Linked DNA regions of Coturnix japonica. The protein of the gene in region 1 interacts with the protein of each later gene in a pairwise test. Links are inferred from orthologs where the notes say so. Each region holds a gene or a part of one and is shown on either strand. Other genes may lie near its edges.

What was found.
Region 2: the proteins of DCX (region 1) and ZBTB5 interact in binary tests that used the Homo sapiens proteins (3 or more experiments, as listed by UniProt). The two-hybrid records come from large-scale screens. The link is inferred for Coturnix japonica from reciprocal best matches to the Homo sapiens genes DCX and ZBTB5.

The regions. Positions count from the first base shown.
Region 1 is NC_029519.1:12,537,009-12,552,330, forward strand, and holds part of DCX (neuronal migration protein doublecortin), read left to right. Parts: intron 1-6,925; coding exon 6,926-7,028; intron 7,029-10,066; coding exon 10,067-10,204; intron 10,205-15,322. UniProt on the Homo sapiens protein: Microtubule-associated protein required for initial steps of neuronal dispersion and cortex lamination during cerebral cortex development. May act by competing with the putative neuronal protein kinase DCLK1 in binding to a target protein.
Region 2 is NC_029547.1:66,745,654-66,761,432, forward strand, and holds the start of ZBTB5 (zinc finger and BTB domain-containing protein 5), read left to right. Parts: upstream 1-6,012; 5' UTR 6,013-6,078; coding exon 6,079-6,206; intron 6,207-10,172; coding exon 10,173-12,201; 3' UTR 12,202-15,779. Other genes in the region: POLR1E (DNA-directed RNA polymerase I subunit RPA49), read right to left, coding at 423-508, 2,486-2,562, 4,385-4,488, 4,565-4,625. UniProt on the Homo sapiens protein: May be involved in transcriptional regulation.

The DNA.
Region 1 (15,322 bases):
CATCAAAGAAAGCATCCGTCTGGCTGTTTTGTGCAGAATTTTCTCTACTGAAGGTGAAAAAGGAAAAAAAAACACTTGTACAAAAGAGTGAAGCTGATAGTTTTATTGAAACAAATGTAGGTTTGAATGTGAGCCGTGGGTCTCCATGCATACAAGAGAAAGCTGAGGTCTCTGATTTCCATCATTTTAAAGGATGGAACTCTCACTGCAGGCTTTTACAGAGTGAGCAAAATGTAGACGGTAGAGATGATTTTTCCTCCCCCTCACAATGTGTGCTGCATTGTGAAGGGCCAGCATGACCCTGCTTGTCACAAGCTTCTACAACGATGTCTGGCACAGAGCAGAGATGGAGGAGCAGATGACAAAGTCCCCTTCCCTTACTGCAGGGTATCTCAGAGAGGGTCCCCCAAGGCACTATAACTGCACTTGCATCCCTGGTTTGGGCTGGCATGCTGGAGTGCTCCCAATCCATTTGTGGATACCAACATCCACGCTTTTTCTACTCATCTTTCTATTGCTTACTCATTGTAAGCAGCATTTTTTTTTCTAAAAACAGATAAGTAATTTTCTTTCTGTGAATGCAAATGTGGAATCTATTGAGTGGGCGTGTGAATGCTTTAAAGAAGTAATTGAATCCAAGCATCCCTTATTTTAAATGCAGGAAACCAGAATCTAATAAAATGTAAATCAATTCAGTACCTACTTTGGGCTTGCATTCTTCAGACTGTAACAAAAAAAAATCCTCCACAATGCAACAACAAAAAACCCAACGGTATAAAGAACAGTGCATTCCAGCATTAACATCTTTATTTTCCATTATGTCTGTTTAACCATTAAGTCTGAAATCTATTTCTTTTTTTCGGGAAATGTGGTGAAAAGCTTGCCAGAGAATAGAAAGCAATTCATTTAAAATCCATTCAGCATGTCCATTCATTCCTGATATTCACTCTGACACATGACCTTGCTGAGTCTTCTTGTGGACAAGCCTGTGTATGTTTGGTTGCTGTACCATGCTTTTTTGATTGCAAGTGCACAACTGATTAATTATACAGTAGGGCTGCCTTTATTATTTAGGGCTGTGGTTATTCAGACATGAAATAAACATACCACTGCCAATTTGACTTTGAGTGCAGGTGTTGGAGTATAAGTAAGTCCATTGGATTTCCTATTTGAGTTTAAACTGAGCTAAAGCACAGTTTACTTATGTTCTCAGCTTAGTAAACTCCCGGGGCCTGTTCAGTTGCTTGTCCTACTTCATCCCCACCCAGCACTTGATTGTTGAAAGGACATTTGCAAGCACCTGAAGTGCATTGTCTTCAGCTGACAGACGGTCAGGTGTATTCAATTTTATAGCAGTTACAAAAGTACCTTTGAAAATGTATGCCTTAGAAAATGCATTTCTTCCCTTTATTCTGCTCTTAATAGGCTTTATGTGTGCATAGCATGCAAATCAGTTTCTACAGCCTTTCTGGCCTTAAAAGAAACTGCTTCTGAAGACAATTTTCCCACACTCAACTCTGGAGGCATCTAAGCTCAACCAGTATGATGATTTTAAGAAATGAAATAGACATCTATTTTCTTTGAGCACAACTATAAGATCTGCTGAAAATTAAGGAACAGTTTGAACATGGCTATCATTTTCTGTTCTGCCATCTAAATTCCTAACAAGAAAGTTATTACAGAGGGAAGAATTTAAAAAATAATAATAATAATTATGACTAAGGGAGAAAGGAACAGAAGAAATCTTGCCCTGGCTCTCGTACCATAAGACTTATACAGAAGCAAGCAGCTGGTTAAAGATGGAAGTCCTGAGATGGGGTATGTTCAGCCCCCAAGTCAGAGCTGTGATTATGTCATTCCAAATAACCTTTGCCAGATCTCTGCTAGCCATTTAAACAGAGGTCTTCAGTCATTCCACAACATAAGGAAGAGATGGAAAATCTGAGGGCAGGAGTACGTACATAAATCACTGTTCTGAATAATCACCAGCTACAGAATCTGACCATTTATCTTTCAGCCTGACCTGGCTCTGTCAAGCTAAAAATAGGAACCTCTAATAAAGGCATTTCTCAGAAAGATGAAAGAGACAGTTCAGTTAACCCTCCTTGTGATGTATCACTCTTCGGAGACACCCTCTGTGTTCTTGGCAAATGGTGATGGCCAGTCCAGGCTACTGGAGATCTCCTGCATAAGTGGCAGAGCTCAGTCCAGCAGTGGCAGTGCCCACAGTGCTGCTGGAGCCTGTTACTGCAGTGACAGCCTTTGCTCTGCCAGTACTAGAGTGACAGTGAGGAAACACATTAGCCATGCATACTCTGCAAGCTGTCATTCTGCAGGTTATGAAAGGGAACAAAAAGTGCTTGTTAAGCATAACACCCTTATAAAGCTCAGGAGGTTCTGCACCGGTAGGTGACATAGACTAAGCCTTCAGTCTTTTGATCTGTAATTCTTTTCAGTTATTTCGTTTATTACCGAATTAGAATTTTGAAATACTCCTGCTGCCTCATGGAGGATGGTAGGGAGAGCTGGTTATTCACAGTTGCACGCCTATATCCTGCATATTGACTGCTCCCTTTCCAGGCGAACTAAGACTATCTACACCAAAACCGTTTCAGCCAACCATAAGCTCACAGCGAGCTCCATTTTGTGGAATGGTTTGTTCTACAGCTGCTGTGTTAAAATGAACTGGAAGGCTCAGCATCACTGCAAAGGTCGTATCTTTCCTTTCCACAATTAAAATGGCTGCAGCAGACACTAATGAAGAGTCACTGCGGAAATCGCCTCCTGGAAATCCTAATGACATTGTTCTCTCAGGGAAGGTTTTTCTAATATACACAGAGAAGGATTTCATTTAATGAGGAAACAAACCCAAGGAACTGCGAATGGTCTGGTGCTCCCTAAAACTTCTTGATCTCTACCGACTTCTGCTCCTTCCCTAAAGTGTACTGTAAAGTTTAAAAAAACATCAAAACCTGACACAAAGAAAAATGTTACCAGCAAATCTATTAGAAAGAATGACTTTGTGAGACATAAATTTGCACTTCATCTACTGGAGCATGAAGATTTAACTTCCTTTATTGGCATTGCTTAAGCTGCAGGAAATGGAGAGAAAACACTTCATGCAATGTGATCCTTTCTATGTCAATATTATCGTTTCAGTCTTGAATTTCAAATTAAATATTATCTTTCTTTAAACAAAGGCTTGTAAACCAATGTTATTTATTCTCTCTACTGTAATTATATACACAGGTTTAATTTTCCACTATAGATCAAATTAATAACAAAATTTGCAGATTCAAGAAGACAACATCTTACTAATTTTGCAATGCCAGTGCCATTGCAAATCGTGCAGGATAAGAACCATCCACACAGTGGCCATTGTCAGGTAGCAGCACAGGTGTATGCACTAGCAGACTGCTATCATTTTTTCTGCCCTGTGCTTCAATGAAATGATAGCTAACAGCAAAAGGAAGCATTTAAAACAATGATATTCAGGTTACCCATTGGGGTAATTTTTTTTCCAGGGTTTTCATGGTGTTCCAGACTAATTATTGGATATAATTAGAGCAGTTGATTAGGGTAAGCTAAAGCAGAACATGTACTTTTAAAATAGTCTACAGTGCCTGGGGAGAGGCTTGTAGAATTCCTTTTTTTTTTTCTTCCTGAGAAAATGTGAGAAAAAAGGCTTTCAAAGAGTAAAGATCAGACGATTCTTAAGGTTATTCTGGAGTCATGAAAACCCCCTGAGCCAGTTAATGCAAGGTAAAGGTTCAGTACTGCTGGGCAAGGACACCCCTGGTGTGTTCCATACTGGCTGATGAGGTTTCCAAGCAGCTGTCCCAGCAGAGCAGCTCACAGTCCCTCTTCCTGGCTCCATGCCCTGCAGGGATGTGTATATCTGGGGCTGCTCTCCTGGTGTTTTCCTTCTTCTGCCCACATTTAGGCAGGCTGGCTTGGGAGCAGTAAGACCTTGCAGTAAGACCAAGCACTTAAGTTGCATGTTTTCACAAAGCAAGTCTACTCTAGCAACTTTATATAGACAGCGATGCATACGGGGTGTGCTCCAGAGACATACAGTAATATCAAGGATTTAAGTTTAATAAACAACCGGTAAATAGCAAATACTATGTACAGTGAACAGAAGCAAAGTGCCTAACTTAGAACTACATGAAGTGACGTTGTTTTCTGAATTTTCAATGTTTTGCATTGTTTGATGAGAAAGAGGTTGGATTTTGTCTTTCTTTCCTTACAACAGGAAACAAAAGGGAATGAATAAAACAAATACAAAAGTTATTGTTTCCTCAGTATCAGGAACAAAACAAATGAGTTATGCAATTTAACTATCAGCCTCCAGTGCTTAGCCTGCCAGTTGTTCACAAGTATAAAACATACATATTAACCTACTAGCTGAAGAGGCAAGAATTCAAGAAGGTGAATTGCAAGTATCTCTGCTTGACATGTCATCATATTTGTCTTAGTGCATCTGTCACACTTAAGACACTTGATCTGAGGGCCTCCTTGGCTGCCTGAATTTTCTTTTTGCTTGCGGTAATGGGGAGTTCAAGGACAAAGAATACCCTTTGACTTGTGACCTGGAGAGGGTGAAAGCCCCTCTGGGTTCTTTCTGATTTCATCTAAAAGGCTGTGGATTTTTTGAACCCTTATGTTGTGATTTAGCTTTGCACAGCAGTTTCCATACAGAAGAGTGAGCTAAGCAAACCGCGAGTGTCTGTGGCATACGTATAGTACTTAGAATTCAGATGGGAGTGCGGGTATTGAGCCAAACCCAATTATTTGCAAATGAATCAGTGGCATGCACCCTCAGGGAGGACTGTAATACCAAGTGCTCGTTTGAAATGTCATCATTCTGTGGGGGAGTTCTCAATACGTGATGTGTTAACTATTTTCATCCTAATTTCAGGCAAATAGAGATTGCAGTTCGCTGAGTTTGTAAAGAAAATTCTGCCTTTGATCAATGCCACTGCAGATTTCATCTTGCTCCATTTTGAAAGTTGTGCACATATGAAAAGGAGGCTTTTCACTAATGTTTGGCATTGTAAACAGAGCTGGCACTCTTAGTCAGTGCTTTAATTATGCATTATATTAACCAGTGTGAAATACTGAGCCCTCTTAGGATAGCCAAAAGCCTTCTTTATATTTTATTTATTAGAGCTTGAAATTAACTTTTCACAGTCCAGCTCCAATAGATCCATAGATACGGAAATTCAGCTGTCTACAGTAAGTTTCTCCACTGCTGTCTCCAGGGCTCTCTCCAGTTGTTTGGGATGTATATGACCTCTGTGAAGGCCCCAGTGGCCAGACATGGCAAAACACTGGACCTCAACCATCTGAGACCTCTATTATAGATGTTGGTGCCAGTACTGCAGGCACTTGCAGTGGTCTTGTGAAAAGGCTGCATTTTTGTTTTGTTTTGTTTACTTATTTCTAGCAGGTGCAGGTCTGTGCTTCTGGGCTCACCCAGGTGCACAGCTGTGCTGTCAGTGGGCTGATGCTGGAGATGCCCCATGCTCATGTACTAGCACATTTTTCTCCTCCTGACACTGTACTTAATCAGTAGGTGGCTGGGAGACCAGGACCTTGGGCTAAACTCCATGCAGTCAGTTGTGTACACACAATTTGATGTCCCTTGAGCCTACAGAGGCTGTTTCTCTATTGAACACCTGCATCTTGAACACAGAAGTTTTGATGTTGGATTTTCCAAAGTGTTTTATCCCTCTTAGAAACAAGTGTTACTTTGCATCTCATGAAAGTTTTCAGAGCATTCTGTGAAGATGGAAAAGCATCATCTTTTTTTGCCTCGAAAGAGCACCTGTCAGCTTGCCAGGAGTCTGATTAATTTTCTGCAATATACTGGTTACAAATCTGGGTGTTTAAGGTTCTCCCTGAAGAGCAATGATGTGCACATTCTCCACATGTCCTTGCGCTGAGATGACTGGAATTAACTTTAGGTACTGGAGACAGCACAATAGCATGATCATGAGTTAATGTGTAATTACCACTGGTTCCAGTGGAATTACCCTCAGCACAGTTATCCTGCTGCTGTTGTGTAATTGCATTCATTATTTCACTGGTAACTGTGCAAATTGCCATGACTGTGACTGTGTAAATATCAGAATATGTTGTTATTCACAGTGTAGCACCTAGAGAAATGAATGTTGAATGGCCACCAGCAGTGCTGTCCTTGTTGATACAAACAGTGCCCAGCTGCGTTCCCACTTTTTCAGGCCCAATTGCTGCACAAGTGCTGGAGGGACATGGGAAAGGAGGGAGGGGGGGTGGGATGAAGGTTTCCTGTCCAGCTCTGCAGGTCCAAAAAGATTTGTAGAATCATGGAATGGCCTGGGTTGAAAAGGACCTCAAAGACCATCTAGTTTCACCCCCCCCCCCCCGCCATGGGCAGTGTTGCCAACCACTAGACCAGGATTACCTGCTAATGGTCTTGGAGACACCTTCTGTGGGAACATGCTGTGCCCAGCCACTCTTCTTAGCAGTCCTTGAGTTTCTAGACTCTGTTGGTACTGGAATGTTCATCAGCGTGGGCAATGGTGACAGCCGTGCTTACTAACCCAGCGTGGGGGCACCCTGCTTATTATTTCTGAATCAGTTCAGGAATGCCTGTGTCATTCATTAGGATGGATATAGGATATGTTAATAGGCTGTCGGCTCCTGAAGGATTGGAAATTCCATACTTCATTGGACTTTGCAGGGTGGATGCATTTTTTTCTCTTTTTCTTCTTCTTTCTTTTTAATTACACTGTTCTGCTTGACTTGTAGGAAGCAGGACCATGTAAGTGTGCGACTCAGGGGTAGCAGAGAGGCAATGCCTTCCTGCTTAAATTTACACTGAGCCATGTCAGAACGTTGCCAATTAAAACTAAAATGAATGACTTTGCTCTCTCTATAGGTGACCTGTCTCCACGATTTCTTTGGGGATGATGATGTGTTTATCGCCTGTGGCCCTGAGAAATTCCGCTATGCACAGGATGACTTTTCTCTGGATGAAAGCGGTAATGTTGAACACACTCTGTTCTTCAATCTGTTCTTATTTAAGAACTAAGCAGTAGAAGACTAATCTCTATTTTTCTACTGTATATTCTGCTGTATATCAGTAGGCAAAGCAACCTCTAAACTGCATTTTTATGACTCCTTAGCAAGGCTAAATTTATTTGATGCTGATACTTGTGACCTGTGTACTCCAGATGAACCCGTTTGGTGGTCTAGGGTGTTTCAAAGATTCCAGGGGTCAGCTGAAACTTTGCAGACAGAGAATAAAGCCTGCATCAGGCTGGTGAAGCAATCTGTAATGTGAGCTTCATATTTTATTTTAACAGTCTGCAGTTGAGTCAGCTCCACAGGGAGCTCCACATATAAAACAAATTGCATGTAATCCTAGCAGAACAACTTCATGGGAAGCTCAGCTCTCTGCCTACACTCCTGGTTTCTACTACATTTTTCAGCTTAGATTTCTCTAACAAAAATAAGTCAAGCTTGCTGTTGGGCAGGTACTGAGCATCTACAGCTCCCCATTGTATTTTCATGAGAGTAAGGGTACCCTGCACTTCCCAAGAAACAGATGAGGAGCTATTAGCCAGCAGCGTTTTCCCATTATCCACCCATCATTCTTCCTTGTTATGAATCAGATGCTGCAAAGAGAACCTGAGGTCTTTCGGATGAATGTCACTTATTAAAATCTCTTCTGTCATGGATACTTTCTCTTGCCTATTGGGATGACATGTACTTGAATTGCTGGCTATTATGTTCATTCTGGCAGGACATCAGGAAACAAAAAGAGAAATACCATGAGAGGATTATGTCATCTTTTTCTTTCTGACTGCCCACCACAGCTTCTGCCCTATAATCCCTGTTGCTAAGCACCTTCCAGATGTTGCTGCTCTGTCGCATTCATACTGGCTGGTTTCAGCATCAGCACACTGAAATGTCACACCCCACAATGCTAAGAGGTCTGCTTATACTGACGTCAGCACAATCAGATGTCCACATTTATTACCTCGTTGCAAAGCATACAAATGCTCAGTAATTGCCTTTGGTGTGCTGACACTTGCTGATGGCTGAGCTGGAGAAATTCATCAGAGTCAGCATTTCTATGCTGGTAAATGCAGAGCTGAGCTTCTCTGTGAGGAATTATCCTTTGGGGAGAAAAAAAATAATTGAATAAGCTCTTGAAAAAAAGCAACAAAATATTTTCACTTTTTTGATTTTATATTTTAAGGATCAATTCAGATGACTAAATACTGATGTAACTCACTGTTTTAAAGTCCCTTGGTTTCTGAGAAAGCCGTATCTGGTGCACTGACATTGCTGATCCAAACGTTACACTGTTTCTGATAAACAGCTACATGCAAAAGCCTTGATAAATATTACTTCTGTAGTGCCTGAAGATGATTGTCCCCCATGTTTTCATTAGGCTGATTAACACCAGGAGCAGTTATTTGCACACTCTTTCAGGTGGCTATCAGAGTGCCTCATCAAACATTTTTATTTAGAACCAAGGAGATAAAAAAATTGGGTATATTTCTTTTCTGAAGCTCTACAAGACCTTCTGTGGCATCATCTATGAGAAGCCAAGTACCTTAAGAAAACAAAACAAAACAATTTACATCCCTAATTTACAGTTTCCAGAATCTATGTAGTAGGAGAGAGAATAAACTTAATGTGGGTTTAATTATTACCATGCGACATCCCTGGAGCACAGGGAATCATCCCATCTGGAAGAAGAGACCGACTCTTGACTGTCTGAGAGTAAGGAAAGCCTGGGGAAAAGATTTAGGGCAATTACATTTTCATATATATTCTGATATATAAATAAAATAACACTAAAATACATTTAGGTCAGACAACTTGTTTTCAATTGACCAATTATGTATCCATCTACCGTATTCTGCTTCAGTTAATTCCCATTAAGAAAGCCAGTCAAGGGAATTCTCAGTGCAGCCCATGCATGCTGAGCTGAGCTTTTCTATAAAAACTTGCCTGTACAGGAAACATCTAATTCACGTCTTTAAAAAGGACCTGTTTTTCATGTGAGGACAATTGGTTATAGGAGATGAGACCAGTTAGAATTGGACAGAGAGGGAATTTCTTTTTTATTGCCAACTTCTTATCTGAGATGTTAACTTTGGGAAGGCAAAGTGCTTTTTCTATCCATTCTTAATGTAAATAAACCCTGGTTTTGAAGACCTGATATGCCTGAACTCCTGGAACACATACAGATTTGTTAGCATTTCAGTTCCCTTCTGCACAGCACTGTAGATCATGTTTACATTTTCCCCTCCTCCTGCCTGGTTTATTTTTTTTTAACAAAACACAGTTGGGGCTCTCATCTGCTCATGCATTAAGTACATGAATCTACTGCATTTGTTTATGTAAACCTTTCTGAAAGAGATGGCTGACTAGAACAGAGGGTGTATTTTATAAAACCATTTTGTTGTCTTTGCTTTCCACATCTGTAAAGGACAACTTGGTGAAAACACAGAAAGAGAGCATGAACAGGTTAAAAGCCTCTTAGGTCACGGGTCCCATTCACCTCTTATCTTTAAGTCATGCTATGAGCTGTTTGCTGGTTTTATGCACCTGCATAAACAGTACTCATTGTTCCTACTGCTATGTCTTCATGGGAGAGTTTTGCAGATTAATTGGTTTTTGACCTGTTCTTTGCTCACTAAATTCTGACCATTTTCATTTTGGTCTCTAGCTGGTGGGCATCAAGGCAAGGGGAAGGGTAGAAAACACTTGGCAGGACACAGGTACTAAGATGTTCCCTGCCAGGGAGAGAATCCTGATTTTAATGTACAGTCTCAGTGCCTCTTCCAGAGGAGCAAAGCTCTCCTTTTTTTCCCTGTCCCTAAAATGTCTTGTTTCTAGCCTGAAGACAATATGGAAATGCCAGTTTTCCCTAGTGTTGAAGTTTTCTACAGCTCTTTGGAAACAGAAAGCAACTGGGCCACCCATGCGTGTTTCACAGCTAGTGCCCATAGGCTGTGAGAGTAGGGAGGGACATAACCATGGTTACTGTCTCTTTCCTTAGAGTGCCGGGTGATGAAAGGGAGCCCTGCAGCTGCCACGGGCAGTAAGTCATCTCCCACCCCTCAGAAGAGCTCAGCAAAGAGTCCAGCCCCTATGCGCCGGAGCAAGTCTCCAGCTGATTCAGGTAACCATCAAGACGGTGAGTGATTGTTTTCTGAATCTTAACTCTGCTCAAGATGAAAACACATAGTGTGTGACTTTGAAAACACTGTCCTTGGATGTTTGCATTTGAGACTCTGGCATATTTTAAACACAAGACGATGTTGTTAGCCTACAGGATCGCTAAATAAATATTGGAAAGGAAATCTCTGGTTAGTTAAGTGCAGTAGTGGCTTTGGGAACATACCACCCACAGTCTCACAACCTCTTGCCCTAAAAAACAATTTAAGAGGAAAGGTTTCCATTTTACAGGCAGGAAATTGAGGTCTACAGTGCTCTTGTACGTTCCGCATAGCTACAGACTGATTTGGAATAGCCTCTTGTGTAATGCAAATGTTAATTACTGCAGGAGTCAGTAGTGTCCTCTCTTAATCACCATTTAAAGAAGACCAGTGACCTTGTATTTGAAGATCTGGTGATGAGCTTATTGATGCGATAGAGACATTCAATCAGTAATAGGAGAGAAAGAAAACGGTAATCCTCATTTGCTGCAGCAGCTTTCACCATGTGAAATGCTGCCCTCCCTCTTCAGTCTCAACTGGACTGACAGTGTAGCACACATGGTGAGCTGCAGAGCCTGTAGATTAGAGAGCTGGCTGGTAACTGGTAGATTTTAGACTTGTGCAATGAAGAGAGTGGGACTCTAGGTAGTGTCTTCTGTTCTGCTATTCTTTCCAAAAGAGCCAGACATGGATTTTCATTAAAAAGGCCAAATCAACAACTAAGCATTGCAAGATTCTAGGAGATTGAATTCAAAATTCAAGTAATGCGGCTGAAAATCTGTTGTAGATTTTTTTTTAGAATCTCCCATTCAGCAATCTGGGAGTCAAGCCATGCATAAGTTGAGACACCATTTAAACTCCATAAGCACCAGGTTCTAATTGCTACCAGAACAAGACACGTGAGTGTACAGCCTTACGTGAAATGACAACCACTGTGTTCCTGATTTTGACTCACGGAACAAAACAGTGATTCATCTGATGCAGTTTAATGAACAGTTTGAGCCTTTCCAAGGGAGACTGATTAAAATAACCAGAAATGTCAAACAGTAGCCAGCTCCTGGAATGAAGGCCTGTAGTGAAGGACAAATCAGGTTTCTTTAACTCATCTAGATGAGGTTCTTTCATACTTTTCTGTGATTTCAGTACAGAAATGTCAGCCTGTCTTTTTTAGTGAGAATAGAAAATGACTGAACTCCTCCTGTGCTGGAAGGTTGACCAAAGATAGTTGTTTTTTTGGGACAGAGTGACAAAAAGAATACTACCATCTTATGTTTTTTCTCTTGAATTTATAATAAAGAAAGTAGGTGTGCACATTATCCAAGAGTCAATATTTATGTAAAGAAACAACAGGCTTAGCTGAGTTTTAAAGTTATCACACTGAAAAAGACAGGGAATACTGAATGAAGCCTGATTAGTAAAAGATGATCTGATCCCCCCCCTTTTTTTTCCTTCAAAACTCTTACCTATTTCTTTTGTAAAAGGATTTGGAAGCAGTTTTATTTCAAGTGTGTTCAGTATATTTCCTGTGTGTTGGATCTCCCACACATCTGTACTTTTTGTCTTCGCTGTCTTTTACTCTGTGGTGATTGCCATATCAGAACTTGGAGTTTCTTAGTTTTTAATAATTAGACTGTTATTTTCAGCTCTTATCTCTTTAGTATTTTATTATCCCTTGAGAAATCTATCAGTGTTAGGGAAGCTGTTGATCACAGCCTGAACCTCTGAATAACCACCTGAGGCAAGCAATGAGTCAGCTGTGGGAGCACAGGTGAAGGTAATTCAGCTGAGCTACCGGAAGGGATGGAGCTTGACTCCACCTCTCCCAGATCTCATTTAAGGGCTGACCACCACTAAGGCAGGGTCTCTTTCTCTGGAGATTGCTCCTTATTGGAGTTTACTCTGAACCTTCGACACTGGTAAGTATTTTCCCTATATCTGTCACAATAATCTTTCATATGAAGCATCTGATTTAACCTCTGTTTACCTATTGACTGTGTAACTGTACATTGCATAACTGTATAATCGTTAATGATGTAAACACAGATTCTGAGGTGAGTCTCCAAGGCACTTGAGCGGAAGAAGTCTGAACATTCCTTATTACAAATTATGTTATAGTGACAGGAAAAAGTGTTTTTTTATTTAATTTATCATTCTACAAAGGCTGCTCTGAAAGTAATGCCTCCTGTTTTATAACATTGGCTTGCAACTTCAGAGGCAGATGGTGACGATATGACAGTAGAGTTTGAACCTTCCCACCAATATCCCATGATATTTTGCAGCCATGTGACAGATGGCAGCAGAGGGGCAGTCTGACAGCATGGTGTCTGATACTGAAGTGCAGATGAAGCAAAGGGGTGGAATTGAATTCCACTGTGTGGAAAAAAAACTGCATCCACTGATGTTCCTTGATGCTTGATGAATGTTTCTGGAGACCAAACAGTTGGTGTGAGCACAGCGAGCTGATGGGTGGTGAAACACTGAGATGTGTGGTTGCCTCTGCTAGTGCAGATTTTTACAAGTGCAGCATGCAGGCTCTTGTTAACGGCTGGTGAAAGTGAGTAATGTGTGGTGCTAACTGTGCTGGAAAAGAGTGTTTTGTAGCAGGGAATTTCTCTATCAAATACTGTTTTGTGCTCTTTGTAACTATTGTAGTTTTCATGGAAATAAATAGGAGGTATTACTTTAAAAAAAAAAAAAAAAAACAAAAACAAAAAACCCCTACATAATTATTCCATTTCTCTTCCAAAATGTAGGGGGAAATGGTACATAATTTATCATTGGTGAAAATGAGAATACAGTACATGTACATTTAGACAGCGGTCAGTTGCACTTGCCAGTGCATTTGCCTTGTTTGCATAGGCAGCTAAGGCTGAGATTGTGCATGCATAGATGTGCCACACTCTTTGGCAGCAGCTCCTATGCTGCAAATAGGTAGTGGACAAAAGTACCAAGTCACTTTTACAGCACAGAGAACAGAAAACACTCCTTTTCAACAGCTTGTTAGTGGTGCTAATCCTAACAGCACAAAAGCCTTGCAGACATTTACCTTGCCATTCACTGTAGGAGCATGTCTGATCTTCCTGTGTCAGTGCAAATAAAACCTCATTCAAAGCTATGAAGATGTTTTGTGGCCAAGTCACAGCAGCTATCCTTCACATAGGCCAAGGTGTTTTGGCACTTGTTTGACTCCAGTTTCTTCCACTGACTCACTCCACAGCTTTGAGTACATTCTTTAAGTTGTTCAAGCCTTCTTTACCAATGGGTTTTCCAAGGCAGTGCTGCCAATCCATATACAAAGCTGTGTAACCTACTCATGGCTTTGAGGATCTTCGTTTTGGGCTTTATATATATATATATTCTGAACACTTTTATATATGATATTGCTAAAAACAAAGCTGTCAGCTCTCAGTCTGCCTGAGACAAGATGCATCTATCAGCAAAGTGACAGCAGAGGTAACTCACATAGTAGCAAGGCTACTGTCTGCCATCCAGTTGACCTTGGACTGTTTCAGTAACCTGCACTCTAACACATATATTCCATTTGTTCTGTTCTGCTGCAACAAAGTGTCAGCTTATGTGGATGAATTAATACCACTGTGTGGCCTGATGTTGTGTTAGCTGTTGTCATAGGCTGCATGGATTCCTATGTAAGCTGACTTGTTTCCAGCCTGGGAGTATTTTGTGTTAGGGATCTGCCTTCTACTCTGTTCATCTTTGATAGACTTACCTCCTTTTGGTTCTGGCTATGGATTCAGTGTTCTAATTCTCAATGAGAAACAAAGGACCTGCTACAAATAAATTTCTGAGAGCCAGAGAGTACTGTTGGCCAGAGCTCAGTTTGCCCTGATGACACCCAAAACTTGGTTCCTGACTGTGGTGTCTGGGGACACTTCTGAGTCAGAATGATAGCAGTATGCAAAAAGAGATGTATGTAACAAGTCTGTAAATCCAGCACTAAAAAGGAAGCAGTTTATAAGACATAAAATTGCTCCTATTGCAAGCTAGGTATGAATTCTTACATATTCTTAGGTAGCATCATTACATCAGTCCTGGTAGCAAGCCACCCAAGTAGGTAAGTGATCCATAATAACAAAGATTAACATGGAGTAACAGGAAACAAGCAAAACATTTGTTTAAAATAATCAAGACAAAAAGCTATGAACAGAAGTGTGCAGCTACACTGAGTACCAGCTCCAGCTGCACTGATGCACGTTCACTGGTTGAGTTGCTACCTTCTGCTGGAGGCGATTTGCCTTCTGCCTAGACATGTCATTGCCTTGCTGTGAAAAGCTCAATTCTCTCTAGGCAGTCAGAGCCCTTCAGCCCCAGTGATACTTTAAAAAATGAGATAGCCAATCCACAGAAATGAGTTAAACACTCTTTTCTTGGCGTAGTACTTTTATCTCTTTATTTGCTATATGGTCATCTAAATAAATGAGTGAAGATGGAATGACTGTTATGAGGAGATACAGCTCTGTGTTCATGCAACTGTGTCCTGCAGCAGCTCACAGATTTCATGTGCTGGTGTAATTGAGAAAACCCTAAGGTATAGTGGATCTGGGGCAGGCCCCTAGAACTGTGTAGGAAGATGGACAAAGGTATTGTATATGATCCATGGAATTTAAATGAGGTACTGCCAGAATAGCATTTGGGAATATTAGTACTAAGGTTTCACTTCTCTAACAGGAGAGTTTAGACGGGGGACAAAAACATATTCACAATGCAACAGCAGTCAACAAAACAGATACAGGATGCCAGTCTGTCCTGAGAACAGATCTGGCTCCCCGGGGTCATTACCTATAAATATGTTAAAAAGGCAGCAGATGTCTTTTGGATCGCATGTAAGATAGAGCAGCTTGTAATCCCACTTGCGCTTACTTTCTGCTAGCTGACAATCTGCAGTATGCATCCAGTGGACAGATCACCCTCACCAAACATGATTAAAAATGGGTGCCAACAGTGCAGAGCAGAGTGTGCTGTTAGGAGGTGCCTGAGTAAAGGATGCCTATGCAGTCTAAACTCTTCTACTCCTAAACAAATGCTGCAATGGTGTCTTTAGAAAGTTTCCCGCACACTTCTGCCTTGCAGGGCAGGAC
Region 2 (15,779 bases), on another chromosome or scaffold:
ATTAAAAGCAGTTCTGCTGGGGAAAAGCTGCTTTCTTTTTCAGTGAATGATTCAGTCTACTGACTTGATTATTTCCAGGCTTCTCTCAGCAGGAGAAGGGCTGCAATTATTCTAAGCAGTAACAACTTTATTTCTAACTCTGGTATTTCCACCCCCCCACCCCCAAGCTCTCTGCTTAACCTTTCCCTCAATATTAGCTATGATTTTGCTTCATTCTCCCTTTCTTCATGCCACACTGCTCCCCAGGAGTGGACAGAGTGATGTATCCTTCTTCCCTCATCCTAAGGCAGCACAGCAGAAATAAGACTAGGAGGAAACAGAGTGCAATGCTGTCAGTAGCAAATTAGTCAATTTTGAATGCACACATATTTCCAGGACATTGTGACCTTGGCACAAAAGGGTTAAATAAAGAATTGTCCTACCTGACAGTAAAGGTTGCATGTTGAATATTTCAGCATTATAGACTTCCATTTGCCCAGAATCCTTGTTTAAAACACCAAGAAAATACCTGGGGAGAACAAGTGCAAGTGATAACCAATGAGACTCTCAGAGCTGAGAAAAATGAACTTAAAATCTCTAGAATAGGTTAATTTCTAGCAAGTCAAATCTTTTTCATTTCACACTTCAGACGAGCAAACCCAAATAGTTTGTGCTGCTCCTCACCACAGAATCATAGAACAGACTCATAGAATCCTTAGAGTTGGAGGGGACCTTTAAATGTCATCTAGTTTGTATTTGGAAAGAAAAATTTAATAATCTATATCACGACCCTTTCAAAAGAACTAACATAAGGACATTAAATGGCTGGAAGCACCTCATCTTAACAGTTTCTGCAATTCTGTTTACTCTTTGTTGTGTCACCCCACTTCTACTTTAAGTAGTCCCCATAGTCAGAGTAGAAATAAACCACGAGCAAATATTGCAGGATGAATGTAGCACATTCATGGGGCAAAGCGCTTGCTAACAGGAGCCTGACACCCACACCAAACGTACATCAGAGCTCTGTAGGTTAGATATGACAAAGTGAGATGATTTTACACTGGTTTTCCACCTATACAAAAGGTCATTCTGCTAGAGGATGGGAATGATCCCCCATGCAAAATAATTCTTAGGAATTCACGGGATTTGTCTCCAGGCTACAAAGTTCACCTTCTGAAACCAGGACATGTGAAAACTGGTGATTTCACCAAGGCTTCCCATTGCAGCATGAGGCACAGACAAGTTATTAATTCATACAGCACCACCAGACTGTGGCCCCGAAGTTAAACGGTGACTAATGACCCACTGGTTTCCTGAACAAGATACTGATCTTGACAGTTGTAAGAAGCCATGCTTTTTACATTACTGTCTCAAAGTCTGCTGAAATGGACAAGTTCAGGCAAGTCCTGGCCAAGGTTCCAGGACTGCCTTTGTCTGAGACACACAGGAGATGGACAAGTCCGGGAGCTACGAAAGGGAGATAAGATACTGATCAATGGCCCTTGAGTGGTCTTTTTGTGTTGGCCTATCTCAAGGAAGATGGCCATCCCTGAGGACTAATGGCCCTTAAGTGGTCTTTCCTGTTGGCCCATCTCAAGGAAGATTGACATCTCTGAGGAAGTCACAGGACTCTGACCCGAGCCTTCCCGAAATCTCTGGAAGGCTGGAAAGAAGGATAAAAAGGGCACGGACAAACCACGGTTTTGTGGGCATCTAGGTATCCGACCTCAGATTCCTCCACCGTTGTCCTACTGCTGCCTATTCTCTTTTCTGGGATTGCTGCTCGAGACTCTGCTCCGAGGGACCTCGCTGCCCGAGACTCTGCTTCTAGAGACCACGGTACTCTGACCATCTTTTCTGCGATTCACCGATCTGCTGTTTGCAGCCTGCTACTCCGTTGCTGCTCTCCCCTACGCTTATTTTGCCCCGGACCAACGTTAACAACGTGCTACGGGACGCTGCTGCATCCAGGAGGTGACTATTCCCCGCTTTAACGTAATTCTTGCTCTTTTCTACCTTTTTCTATCGCCTACTTTCCCTTCCCCATCACCCTAATTTTGGCATTCGTCACTCTCCCTTCCCCATCCCCTCAATTGTCTATTATTTCCAATAAACTGGTCGGATCAACATTTGAATGCTCTTCTTCTTAATCTCACGCCGGGCATAACATTATTAAAAGAACCTTTGCCTCACTCCTAAATTGGAGCGAGACAACAGTTAAGAAGGAATAATGCTGTTGTCCATAGGTTTCAGCTATGTGCAGACACCTTCTCACTTTTCTTCCCTCCAGCAGACCTAAACTCCACTTATGTGTAAGATCACAACATGCAAAATGGTGCAGCTGCCAGGAGATTATATCAACTGCCCCAATCCTCTCCATTCACACCATGGTCTCAATGAGAACTCATCAGTCCCCAATACAGAAGGCTACAGAAAATACTTTATTTGTGCAGTTCCTCTGCTTTCCCCTCCCTGTTTCTGCCACAGCGTTGCCAGCTACCCATACCTGCATAGGGAGTTGCTTTTCATAGATCCACTGCTGAAGTTATTCCCCACGTATGAAAGCCTTTCAGTTTCTGAAACCTGACAAACAAAGAAAAAAATTACTTGAAGAGTGCATTATTTGAAAGTGCATATTTTCCTGCATGTACTGTATCTCTAGTGACACAAAGCTCAAATTTGCCACGGTCACCATAGAATCACAGAATTATCAAGGTTGGAAAAGACCTACAAGATCATCTAGTCCAACCATTACCGATATTTCTCAGCTAAATCATATTCCTTTACTTTACTTTACATATTCCATTTACTTTATACTTTATAAAGTAAATAAATAAACCATCCTTTAAAGCAGTAGGAGCAGTCTGTGAAAGAGGCAGTGGAAAGGAGCATTCTGTACCAGTCACCTGCACATCCTACTCGCAGTGCTTAAGGTTGCTTGATGCAGTTACTCAAAGCCTTTCTCGGTTTACAGAACAAGTGTTAGATGTCAGAATGAGCCAAGTGGCACAGAGCTGTGGGAAGGCAACATTACAAACCAGAGGATCATCACCCCGGGGGTGCCCAAGGAACGACTGGATGTTGTGTTGAGGGACATGGTTTAGGGGGAGCTATTGGTAATAGGAGAACGGTTGGACTGGATGATCTTTAGGACTTTCACAGAATCACAGAATGACCCAGGTTGGAAGGGACCTCAAGCATCATGTAGTTCCAACCCCCCTGCCTAGCAGGGCCACCAAACATACACATTTACTAGATCAGGTTGCCCAGGAGACCCTATAGATCCCCATAGAGACCCCATAGAGACCCACAGATCCCCACAGAGACCCCACAGACCCCCATAGATCCCCACAGAGACCACATAGACCCCATACATCCCCATAGAGACCCCACAGACCCCGTACATCCCCATAGAGACCCCATAGACCCCGTACATCCCCATAGAGACCCCACAGACCCCATACATCCCCACAGAGACCCCATAGATCCCCACAGAGACTCCACAGATCCCCACAGAGACCCCATAGACCCCACAGAGACCTATAAAGACCCCATAGACCCCAAAGATCCCACATAGAGACCCCATAGATCCCCATAGAGACCCCAAAGACCCCCACAGATCCCCATAGAGACTCCACAGATCCCACAGATACCCATAAACCCCCATAGAGATCCCCATAGAGACCCCATAGACCCTCACAGATCCCCATAAAGACCCCATAGATCCCAATAGAGACCCATAGAGACCCCTTAGATCCCCATAGAGACCCCATAGACCCCCATAGAGACCCCAAAGAGACCCCATACACCCCAAAGAGACCCCATACACCCCAAAGAGACCCCCACAGAGACCCCATAGAGACCCATAGACCCCCATAGAGACCCCATACATCCAAATAGAGACCCCATAGACCCCATACATCCCCATAGAGACCCCATAGACCCCCATAGAGACGCCATAGACCCCACAGAGACCCATAGAGACCCCATAGACCCCACAGATCCCCACAGAGACCACATAGACACCATAGATCCCCATAGAGACCCCCATAGAGACCCAGAGACCCCATAGATCCCCATAGAGACCCCACAGATCCCCACAGAGACCCCATAGAGACCCCACAGATCCCCACAGAGACCCCATAGAGACCCCCATAGAGACCCCATAGAGACCCCAGAGATCCCCATAGACCCCCATAGACACCATAGATCCCCATAGAGACCCCCATAGAGACCCACAGAGACCCCACAGATCCCCATAGTGACCCCATAGAGACCCCACAGTCCCCATAGATCCCCATAGAGACCCCACAGACCCCACAGATTCCCCACAGAGACCCCACAGATTCTCCATAGAGACCCCATAGACCCCATAGATCCCACCCCCGGTGATGCCGGGCCTTACCAGGATCCTCCGCCTTCTCTTCCTGGGGTTGGACACCTCGCTGCTCCGGTACAGCGAGAACCGCACGGCGTCGGGTCGCTGCAGCTGCCCATTGGAGAACGTCACTACGGGCGATAAAACAGGCCGTGAGTCCCTCAGCACCTCACCGCACCGCACCGCCCATCCCGCATCTCTGCTCACCCAGCACTGCCGGCTGCTCCTGCTCGGGATCCCCGCGGTATCTCCACGTGGCGGTGGCCATACCCGGTACACACAGGAACAGGCCAGGCGCCACGCCGTAATGGCGGCACTTCCGGTGGGGGCGCTCCGAGATGACGTCACATCCTCTCGTCAATATGGCGTCATTTCCGGCCGACGCGGCGACAGGGTGGGAGCGGGGGTGGAGCGCGGGGCCGGAGCGTCGTAGCGCGGCGGGTTCGGTGCCGCTGGGCCCGGTGTGAGCGGGGAACAACAGGGGAACAGCACGGGAACAACAGGCGGTGTGCCGGCCCCGCTGCCCGCACTGCTTCACTGGTGCTGAAGGAGGAGCCTGGAGCGGGTCTGTAACGGCGGCGGTGCCCACTGCGGTCACTGGAGGGAGGGACAGAGCGATGGGATGCGTTACACGAGGGGTGGGGTGTGAGGGGGTCCTGGTGTGATGCTAGGAGGGTTATAGGGTTATAGGGTTATAGGGTTAGGGTTGGGGTTAGGGTTAGGGTTGGGGTTAGGCCCTCCTGTCTCACGTTCATGTCGTTGCTCATCATAGCCGTGATGTGGAGGACGGTACTTGGGTTGGGGAGGTGCTAACACGCTGCTAGCACCTTGTAGCCAATGGCATACTGGGGTGTATTAAAAAGAGTGTGTCCAGCAGGTTAAAGGAGGTGATCCTCCCACTCGACTCTGCCCTATTAAGGCCTCATCTGGAATATTGTATCCAGTTCTGGGCTCCCCAGTACAAAAAAGACAGGGATCTCTTGGAAAGACTCCAGTGGAGGGACACAAAGATGGTGAAGGGCCTGGAGCGTCTCCCCTATGAGGAGAGACTTAGGGAACTGGGTCTGTTGAGCCTTGAGAAAAGAAGGCTGAGAGGGGACTTGATCCAGGTTTATAAATACCTGAGGTGTGGGGGCCATAGTGGTGAGGCTGGTCTCTTTTCAGTAGTGTGTGGGGATAGGACTAGGGGTAATGGGATGAAAGTACAGCATAGGAAGTTCCTTAATAAGAACTTCTTTACAGTGAGGGTGACGGAGCACTGGAACAGGCTGCACAGGGAGGTGGTGGAGTCTCCTTCTCTGGAGATATTTAAGACCCGCCTGGACGCCGAGCTGTGTGACATGGTGTAGGGAGCCTGCTTTGGCAGGGGGGTTGGACTCAATGATCTCTAGAGGTCCCTTCCAACCCCTACAATTCTGTGATTCTGTGACAGCGCCTCTGTCCCTACCTGCTGTTTCTTGCTAACTTGGAACTTAGAACTAGAGGGAATGGTTTTAAGCTGCGTCAGGGGAGATTCAGGCTGGACATTTGGAAGTATTACTTTTCAGAAAGAGTATTCAGGCATTGGAATGCACTGCCCAGGGAGGTGGGGGAGTCACCGAGCATGGGAGTGTTCAAGAAATGTTTGGATGTGGTGCTGAGGAATATGATTTAGCCTGGAAGTATTGGGAATTGTTGGACTAGATGATCTTTTCCAACCTTGCTAATTCTGTGATTCTCTAATGGTGTGGGGCATCTGTTACACCCGTCTTGCAGCTGATGGTTTGTCTCATGCTGACAGACCCATGTGGTGGATAAGCTGGGAGCCAGTCTGCTGCTGTGCCGTAAGCCTGTCTGTTACAGGAGAAAGGTCAGTCAGCACTGATGTCTGTGTCAAGTCCAGAACGCAGTTGTGTCTTGGAGCTGACCAGATGTGCTTAATTTCTTCCTCTACCCTTTCAGAATTGCTCAGGAGTTTGATTCAGCATCCACACTTGAAAATCATGGCAATTGTTATTTACTAAAATATTTTTGTTTCACATCGTTGTGTGTGCTACATAGGTTGCTCTGAAAGTAATGCCTCCTGTTTATGTCTGTGGAAACTACAACAGTTAGATCACTTGGTAGAGCAAATGCTCCGTTACCAAGCACTGTTCTTCAGCATGGTAACCACCATTAGCAATGCATTTTCATGTGTGCTAAACTTTTATGGAGCACAAAGAGTGGATGTGGGCACAGTGAGGCGGTGGATGCTGCGTTTCAGCAGTGGTGACAGATGTCACCTCTGCTGGTGCAGATTTACATGAGGGTGGTATGCAGGCCCTCGCTCAGCAGCCATGTCATAAAATACACAGAGCCCTGTAAGTCATTTGTATAGACTTACTTCCTTCTGTGTGTGGAATGACAGGGTTGGAGTTTTTTCAGTGAGTTTTGGATCACCATAAGCAGATCATTCAGCCATTCTTATATAAAGCAACACAGTGGTGGGTTGAATCAGCAATGTGGATATAGGTACTTTGCTAGGTTGAAGACAGGATACTAATGCAATCTTTGTAGAGCTGGCCTTGTTACTCTGTTACAGTCACTTCTGTGGCAAGAACAGTTTTCTTCAGCAAGTTTCTGCCTAGAGTTTGTTTAAAGCCTCTCACAAAGCCACTGTCAGAATCACTGGGGAATCAGAATCACCAGGTTGGAAAGGATCTACAAGATCATCCAGTCCAACCGTCACCCCAATATTGTAGCTACAGCAAACACTAAACCAGATCTCGCAGCTAAGTTGGACAGTTCTTCCAGATAATCAAGAATGTCTAAGAAATATCTAGCATTTTTAACAAAGTTTTCAGTTGCTCCGTTTAGAATTGCTCTTTGCAGCTGACAAGGCTAGGCTGTTAGTGCTTATTGATAGGCTAGTATTGCTATAGGTTGCAATATGGGTTGTTAATACTTTTCAAGTGATGAGAGCATATTACATTACAAAGTAATCTCTTCCCTGGAAGGTGGGTGCAATCAGCAGCAGCTTTTGCAGTACAGTTTTCTGATTCTTAGGCAAGTAATAACTCATCCTCCCTGATCACTGGGAAACAAATGCTGTGAGATGAACACCTGGCAAAGCAGAAACTTCAGATGAGCTGCTCTGAGTTAAATTGACAGTCATCAAGGTTGCTAATTGCTGGTGTTTTCCTGTGTCATTTTCAGGCACACACAAAGAATGCCTTTCACAGCTGGCATTTGGCATATTAGTGCATATGTGAATGCAATGTAACACTGATGACTACTTCAGTTGTATGGAAGAAACCCAGAATTCATTTAAGCTGCTGCTAACTAAAGATCCTCTATTTTTTTTCCTGCAGTTTGAAAATGCTGTTAGGTCAGAGAGTGAGTTGTGCTTCAAGTGATCAAACCTGCTGGAAGTGTTGAAGAAAGCTGGGGGTCCCATTTCCTTCTGTCTGTAATTCTGTAAAGCGCTCCCCCTGCAGTGAAAGGCTGAGCGAGCTGGGCATGTTCAGCCTGGAGAAGGGAAGGCACAGGGGAGACTTTGCATTTACCTTCCAGTACCTAGAGGACCCTACAGGAAAGCTGAGTTTGACTCTTCTGCAGAGATTGTAATGTTAGGACAAGGACTGATGGCTTCAAGCTGAAAGAGTGGAGACCTAGGTTATGTCTTAGGAGAACATTCTTTATTCATGAGGCGGTGAGGCCCTGGCTCAGGCTGCCCAGAGAAGCTGTGGGTGCCCCAAGCCAGGTTGGAAACACCTCTGCAGCCTTGAGTGTACTTTGTTAGTCCAGGCAGGGCTGCAGGGACACAGGCAGTGCAGTGGGGATGGGCACTGAGAACATTGGGACATGGTACAGCCCAAGAAAGCCTCAAAGTGTCTACATCTTGCAAACACCCTTAGCCAGAGGCTGCGTATGACCCTGCAGAACACCAGCACACTGAAGCTCTCCTGCCTTGGCTGCTTTTGTGGTGGTTGTGGTTCAACACTGACACATTTTGTAAGGCTGTTGTAGCTGAAAAGTAGTGCTAATTCCGGCCTATAGGAGAAGGAGCTTCTGTGTCTTGTGCTGGTGGGTTCCTGGTGTTCTGCAGGGTCTCTTGTCTACAGCTCTGTACACCGATCAGGTCATCCTTGAATATTAAATGGTTCCCTGGAGCTCTACTCCTTGCAGGAGGAAGAGTGAGTTGAAAGGAAGTTGACCAACATCCAGGTCCCTCAAGCATAAACAGCTACAGCAGTGATGGTCGTCTAAAAGGAGAGGAAGAAATAATAGTTCTTTGGTGTTGGGGCAATTGCAGGGCCTCCCTGCCTGCTTCTCCTCTTCTTCCTAAACTCTCCCTAGGCCTTGCTTTAACTCCTGAAGCCATGGGCAGCGTGTTATCTCTGGTGTAGCACCTGGCCCATCTCAGAAGCAAGCAAAGAAGACAAATAAGTAGATGTTCAGCAGACCATTTTTGACTTTCCAGAGAAGCCCTCCTCCAGACTACAGAGGAGGAAGTCATAGCATGGTGGTGGGTGGAACAAAGTAGGTCATTAGTTTAGCCTGACGTGCGAAGGCAGGCAGCTGTTTAGCAGCACTGGTTACTAGAGCAGCAGTGTCCTCTATGGAATTTCAGATTCTGCCTACTGAGGCTTGTAGCTGTTTTTGCAGTTCCTCTATGATCCTTTTGTCCAGTTGCCCGAAGTCGCTGCGTTTCAGGGTCTGCTGCCTGGTTCTTCTGTCATTCAGAAGGAATGCAGAAAGGATTTCCTCACTTTCCCATGCATTACAGTGCTCTTAGAGAAAATGTGCAGAAATAAAAGCCATCTAAAATATCTCTGTCCTGATACCGTTTTTGTTTGAAGATGCCCTGCTTTACTTTCAAATATACATTTGTAGTGAGAGATAAATAAAAATCACTTTTTATCTGTATTCCTGCATCTTAAAAGAACAGTTTTGTTTCAAACTCTTCAATTTTATTACATATCTTAATCTGCAGGGATAAGGGAGATTGACAAAGTACTTATTGAATCTCATCACGCTGCTTACTTCAGGCATTCAGACATCGCAGCCTTTGTGTTGCTGAATTAAGGGATTTTTGATGCCTCAGTAAGACTGGACCCTCAGCATTGTTAGAAGGCATAAAATGCAATTTCCTACAGCTTTTAATTTACCTAGGAACCAATTAAAGTCTGAGGCAAATGCTTCTCAACCATCTCTGACTCCTGCTGGCAGGAATTCCTGCTTTTCTGTGTTTTCATAAAGCTCCATTATTTTTAGTCAGGGAGAAGGGTTCCTAGTGTAGTACAATACACACCAAAATCTTCCTCCAGCTCATACCTGTGAAGTGTTGTGTGCCTTAGAGGAGTGGTAGGCCGGTGAGTACAGCTGCATCTTGTGCTTGGGAACATCATCTTGCTGCTCCTCTCCAGTCTGGCAGCTGAGAGAAGTAGGGAATGCTTTGTCAGATTTTGCATGACCTAATGACTAGATTTTTATTTTTTTAATTGTATTTTTTAATTAAACTGGGGTTAAATATCTTACTGGAGAATATCTTTAGAGTTTGGACAGAAGTTAACAGGAGAATGAATGGCATTGTGCAGTTTGCAGTGGAGCTGCCCACGATAAGTCTGGCACTGGGGTAGCTGTTATGCTGTTAGCTACACCACAGTCTGTTTTTCTCTCCCATGTGTTCCTTTGGGAGACTGCTAGTTCTGATACAGCAACAATGTGGCAGTTGATGAACCGGTTATTGTTCATCCGTCTTTTAGCCATCCTCTTTCATTTTTAAACCCAATCCCACTGTGATTTAAATAGAACCTCAGCCATTTTTAATATTTTCTTCTCTTCTGTTTTATAGGATCATGGATTTTCCGGGACACTTTGAGCAAATCTTTCAGCAGCTCAACTACCAGAGGCTTCACGGCCAACTTTGTGACTGCGTCATTGTGGTGGGAAACAGGCATTTCAAAGCCCATCGCTCTGTTTTAGCAGCATGCAGTACCCATTTCCGAGCTCTCTTCACTGTAGCAGAAGGAGATCAAAGCATGAATATGATTCAGCTGGATAGTGAAGTGGTGACAGCAGAAGCCTTTGCTGCTCTCATAGACATGATGTACACTTCTACACTTATGCTTGGAGAGAGCAACGTTATGGATATCTTGCTGGCTGCATCTCACTTGCATTTGAACTCTGTAGTTAAAGCATGCAAACACTACCTTACTACCAGGACACTGCCGATGTCTCCACCGAGCGATAGGGTTCAAGAGCAAAACGCACGCATTCAAAGGTCTTTCATGCTTCAGCAGCTTGGGCTGAGCATTGTGAGCTCTGCGTTGAATTCCACTCAGAGCTCAGAGGAGCAGCCAAGCACTATGAGTTCCACGATGAGAAGCAACATAGAGCAGCGCTCTGCTTTTCCTATTCGCCGCCTCCACAAGCGTAAGCAGTCTTCTGAAGATCGGGCCAGGCAGCGAATGAGGCCTGCCATAGATGAGGCTGTTTCTGATGTGGCTCCAGAGAGCGGGCAGTCAGTTGTTCATTCACGGGAGGATTTCTTTTCACCAGATTCACTGAAGATAGTGGACAACTCTAAGGCTGATGCTGTCACTGATAACCAGGAGGATAATAACATTATGTTTGATCAGTCTTTCAGTGCTCAGGAAGACACTCAAGTACCCAGCCAGTCTGACAACAGTGGAGGAAACATTTCACAGATGTCCATGGCATCGCAAGCAACACAAGTGGAAACCAGCTTTGACCAGGAGGCTACATCTGAGAAAAACAACTTCCCGTGTGACAATCCAGAGGTCAGCATAAATGAAAAAGAGCACATGAGGGTGGTTGTTAAATCCGAGCCCTTGAGTTCCCCGGAGCCTCAGGACGAGGTGAGTGATGTCACCTCCCAAGCAGAAGGCAGCGAGTCTGTTGAAGTGGAAGGAGGAGTTGTGAGTGCAGAGAAGATAGAGCTGAGTCCTGAGAGCAGTGATCGCAGCTTTTCTGATCCGCAGTCTACTACAGATAGGGTGGGAGATATCCATATTATGGAGGTGTCAAATAACCTGGAACACAAGTCTACTTTCAGTATCTCAAATTTTCTGAATAAAGGCAGAGGTGGCAGCTACGGTGCTAGTCAAACTACTGATGACAACATTCCAAATACAACAAGTGACTGCAGAATGGACAGTGATGCTTCTTTCCTGATGAGTCCAGAGTCAGGACCTGCTGGTGGTCATTCATCTGCCACAGTCTCTCATGTTGAGAATCCCTTCAGTGAGCCTGCAGAGTCCCATTTTGTTAGACCAATGCAGGATGTGATGGGTCTCCCCTGTGTACAGACTTCTGGGTACCGGGCTGCAGAACAGTTTGGTATGGACTTTCCAGGGTCAGGCTTAGGCCTGCATTCTCTCTCAAGGGCAATGATAGGCTCCATAAGAGGGGGAGTCAGTAGCTCTCCTGGCTACCGCCGCATAGCCCCCAAAATGCCTGTTGTAACCTCTGTCAGGAGCTCCCAGCTGCAGGATAACTCACCCAGTTCCCAGCTGATCATCAATGGGACCACTTCTTTTGAAAATGGGCATCCTTCACAACCTGGTCCTCCACAGCTGACGCGGGCATCTGCAGATGTTCTTTCAAAGTGTAAGAAAGCCTTATCTGAGCACAATGTCTTGGTTGTAGAAGGTGCACGCAAATATGCATGTAAGATCTGCTGCAAGACTTTTCTGACCTTAACGGACTGTAAGAAACACATCCGTGTGCACACGGGAGAGAAGCCTTATGCCTGCCTGAAGTGTGGCAAACGGTTCAGCCAGTCCAGCCACCTTTATAAACATTCCAAAACGACCTGCCTGAGGTGGCAGAGTAGCAACCTACCTAGCACTTTGCTTTAACTGCTCGCACCTCCCAGCCTGAATGAGAGTGCCAGTACAAACTCTTAACTCTCCGAAGCACTGCAGGAGCATTAACACTATTTTGCTCAAGCTGAGAAGCTGCTTTCGTAGGTCTGTGAACAGTTGTGTGTGGTTGTGCCACACGCTAAAGTCTTGATTCTATAAATTGGGGATAATACCATACCTACCTCACAGGGGTGTTGTGAGGATTAGACAACTGTTAGCAAATAACTTTGAGGTCCTCAGAAGTCTGTAGATACGTAAAACGTTATTGTTATGTACATGCAGACTTGGGGCTCAATGGGGATAAGGTCCCTACATAAAATTTCCTTTGCAAAACAGAGGGGTGGGGATTGAGTGAGAGTGTAGTTGTCTCACAGAATCATAGAATGGCTTGGGTTGGAAGGGACCTTAAAGTTCATCGTGTTCCAACCTCCCTGCCATGGGCAGGGTTGCCACCCACTAGATCAGGTTGCCTAGAACCCCATCCAACCTCCATGAATGGGGCATCCAGAGCTTCTGTGGGCAGCCTGTTCCAGTGCCTCACTACCTTTGATAGTGAAAATTTTCTTCATAATATCTAGTCTAAATCTACTCTCTTCTAGTGTAAAGCCATTACTCCGTGTCCTACCATTACAATCCCTGAAGAAAAGTCGCTCCCAAGGTTTCCTGTAGGGCTCTCTAGGTATTGGAAGGCTGCAGTGAGATCTCTCTGGAGCCTTCTCTTCTCCAGGCTGAACAAGCCCAGCTCTCAGCCTGTCTTTGTCAGAGAGGTGCTTCAGCCCCCTGATATCTTCATGGCCTTCTCTGGATCCGCTCCACCTGCTCTGTGTCTTTCTTGTGCTGGGGGCTCTAGGCCTGAATACAGTACTCTGGCTGGGGCCTCACAAAGGCAGAGCAGAGGCAGACAGTCTCCTCCCTGCCCTGCTGCCACCCCTCTGTTGATGCAGCCCAGGAAGCATACGGCCATCTGGGTTGCAAGCGCACACTGCTGGCTCATGCCCAACATTCTGCCCACCAGGAGCCCAAGTCCTTCTCCACAGGGCTGCTCTTAAGGAGTTCTTCTCCCTGTCTTTACATGTCCTTGGGACTGCCCCTATCATTGTGTAGCACTTGACCTTGTTGAACCTCATTAAGTTCACATAGGCCTCATTCTCAGTCTTGTTCAGGTCCTTTTGGATGGCATCCCTTCCTTCTTTTGTGTCTACTGCACCGCTCAGCTTGGTGTCTTCAGCACATGTGCTGAGGGTACCCTCAATCCCAGTATCTTGGTCATTGAAAAAGATGTTAAAGAGCACCAGTCCAAAGATGGATCCCTGGGGAACACCGCTCATGACTAGCCTTCAGCTGGACGCAGAGCAGTGGACTGCAACCATCTTGCTGTGAACATCCATCCATTTCCTTATCCACTATGTAGTACACCCTTCACTATCTAATTAAGAGATAAGGATGTGGCTAAGGACCACGTCAGAGGCATTCCAGAAGTCCAGGCATTGGTCTTTCCCTGTTCACTGATGTTTCTCTATCATGAAGGCCATCGGATTGGTCAGGCACAGTCTGCCCTTTTTGAAGCCATGCTGGCTGTCTCAGATCACCTCCTTGTCTGGCCTGTGCCTTAACGTAGCTTCCAGGAGATCTGTTGCACGATCTTCCCAGGCACAGCCGTGAGGCTCACCAGCTTCTAATTCCCCCCAGTCTTCCTAGGTTAAAAAATGGCTCCTTTCCTTCCTTAAATAATGGGTCACTGGGGATTTCACCTGTCAACACTGGCTTTTCAAAAATGATGGAGAGTGTCTGAGCAGCCACATCATCCAGCTCCTTCAGGACCCCGGGGTGCTTGTCATCTGGCTACATGGACCTGTACATGTTCAGTGTTGTCATGTGGTCTTGAACTTGCTCTTCTCTTACAGCAGGAGGGATTTTGTCCCCACCAGCTGCTGCCCAGGGGTTCAGGGATGTGAAGGTGCACAGATACAAGAGACACAGGAAGCCTGGCTGCCAGTGAACAGGCCAAGAACTCATTGAGTACCTCAGCCTTTTTGATCTCTGTCGAAGCCAGAGCTCCCTTCTCACTATTCAGAGGAGATACCCTCTCCTTGGCCTGTCTCTTCTGTCCTATGTACCCCTCCTGTTAGTTTTCACATCCCTTGCCAAGTGCAGTTCCATCCATGCCTTGGCTTTCCTGATCCCATCTCTGCACATCCAGATGGCATCCCTGTATTCTTCCCAGGCCACATGTCCCTGTTTCCACTGCCTGTGCATTTCCTTCTTTTCCCTCAGTTTGACCAACAGGTCCTTGCTCAGTCACTCCAGTTTCCTGCCTCCTCTGCTTGATTTCTTTTACTTGGGGATGTAGAGATCTTGTGCTCTCAGAAATATGTTCATAGAGAGCTGATGGCTCTGTTTTGTTCCTTTTCCCCCCCAGGACAGCTTCCCAAGGGGATCTCATCCAGTAATTCCTTAATTAGCTGGAATCTCTCTCTGCTGAAGTTCAGCGACCTGCTCATCTCCAGGTCCATGTTACCATGAACTCAGCCAGGACACGGTCACTGCAGTGCAGGCTGCCTCCAGTCTGACCCTGTGTGAAGCTCCAGTAACATTTTGCTTCTGCTTGGTTTGCCTAATTCCTGAGCTGGGAAGTTGTCCCCCACACGTTCGTGAAGTAACACATTTCGAGAATGAGAAACTGAAGTGCAAATTTCCTATTTTTTTTTTTTTTCTAAAATATTTTGTAAAAGTGAAAGCATTTAAATAAATAACCTGCAGAAGTCAAGCTGTTGCATTAGGTGTGAACAATAATGCAAGGAGCTGTTTGCTCCAGCTAATGCAGGTTGTGTATCTTGAAAAGAAAACCAACTTTGGATGCATCTGTCTGACATAGAATGCTTTAAAGTATGCTAATTATGAAAATAGTTTAGGGTTCTGAATGTATGTTTGCTTGTTTTGTAGTAAAAAACACTGTGTAATGAAGGTGCTTAAATTAAATCCAAGAAAAAGTAAATTTTGGACTACCAGATGTATATATATACTTGGAATACTGCAAGATCTGGATGTTTCACCAATATTTTTCTGTAGAAACTTGTATTAAGTGATAAGTGAAGTTTGTTTCTTGTTTGTGCTATTCTTAGCAGTATTTTAACCAATTTGTATTTCCTATCTTAAAATTCCATATACACAAAAGTCTGAAAAAGAGCTTGTCTTTGTCTGCTTTGTTGTTTTCTGCAAGAGGGAGTTTGTGATGGTGTTGGTACGTGAAATCGCCTCTTGCTGCTTCCAGACATGCCCGCAGTCAGTCTGATCCACGCTGCTGCCCAGGCACACCTCTCTTTTTTGGCACTCTTTAGCTTCAGGCTTTGATTTCCTCTCCTGGACACTCACTTCCCCTCTCAGCTGCGGGTTGTCCCTCAGAGCAGAGCAGTGGGGATGGAGCCTCATTATCCATGTTTACTTACGTCTCTATGTAAAGTGTAGCTATCAAATCCAGTCTTTCTGTTTGAAGTAGTGTCATAAATATACTTTTCCACAACAACAATTAAAAAAAAAAACCCTAGGTTACTTTAATTAAAAAAGAATAGCAC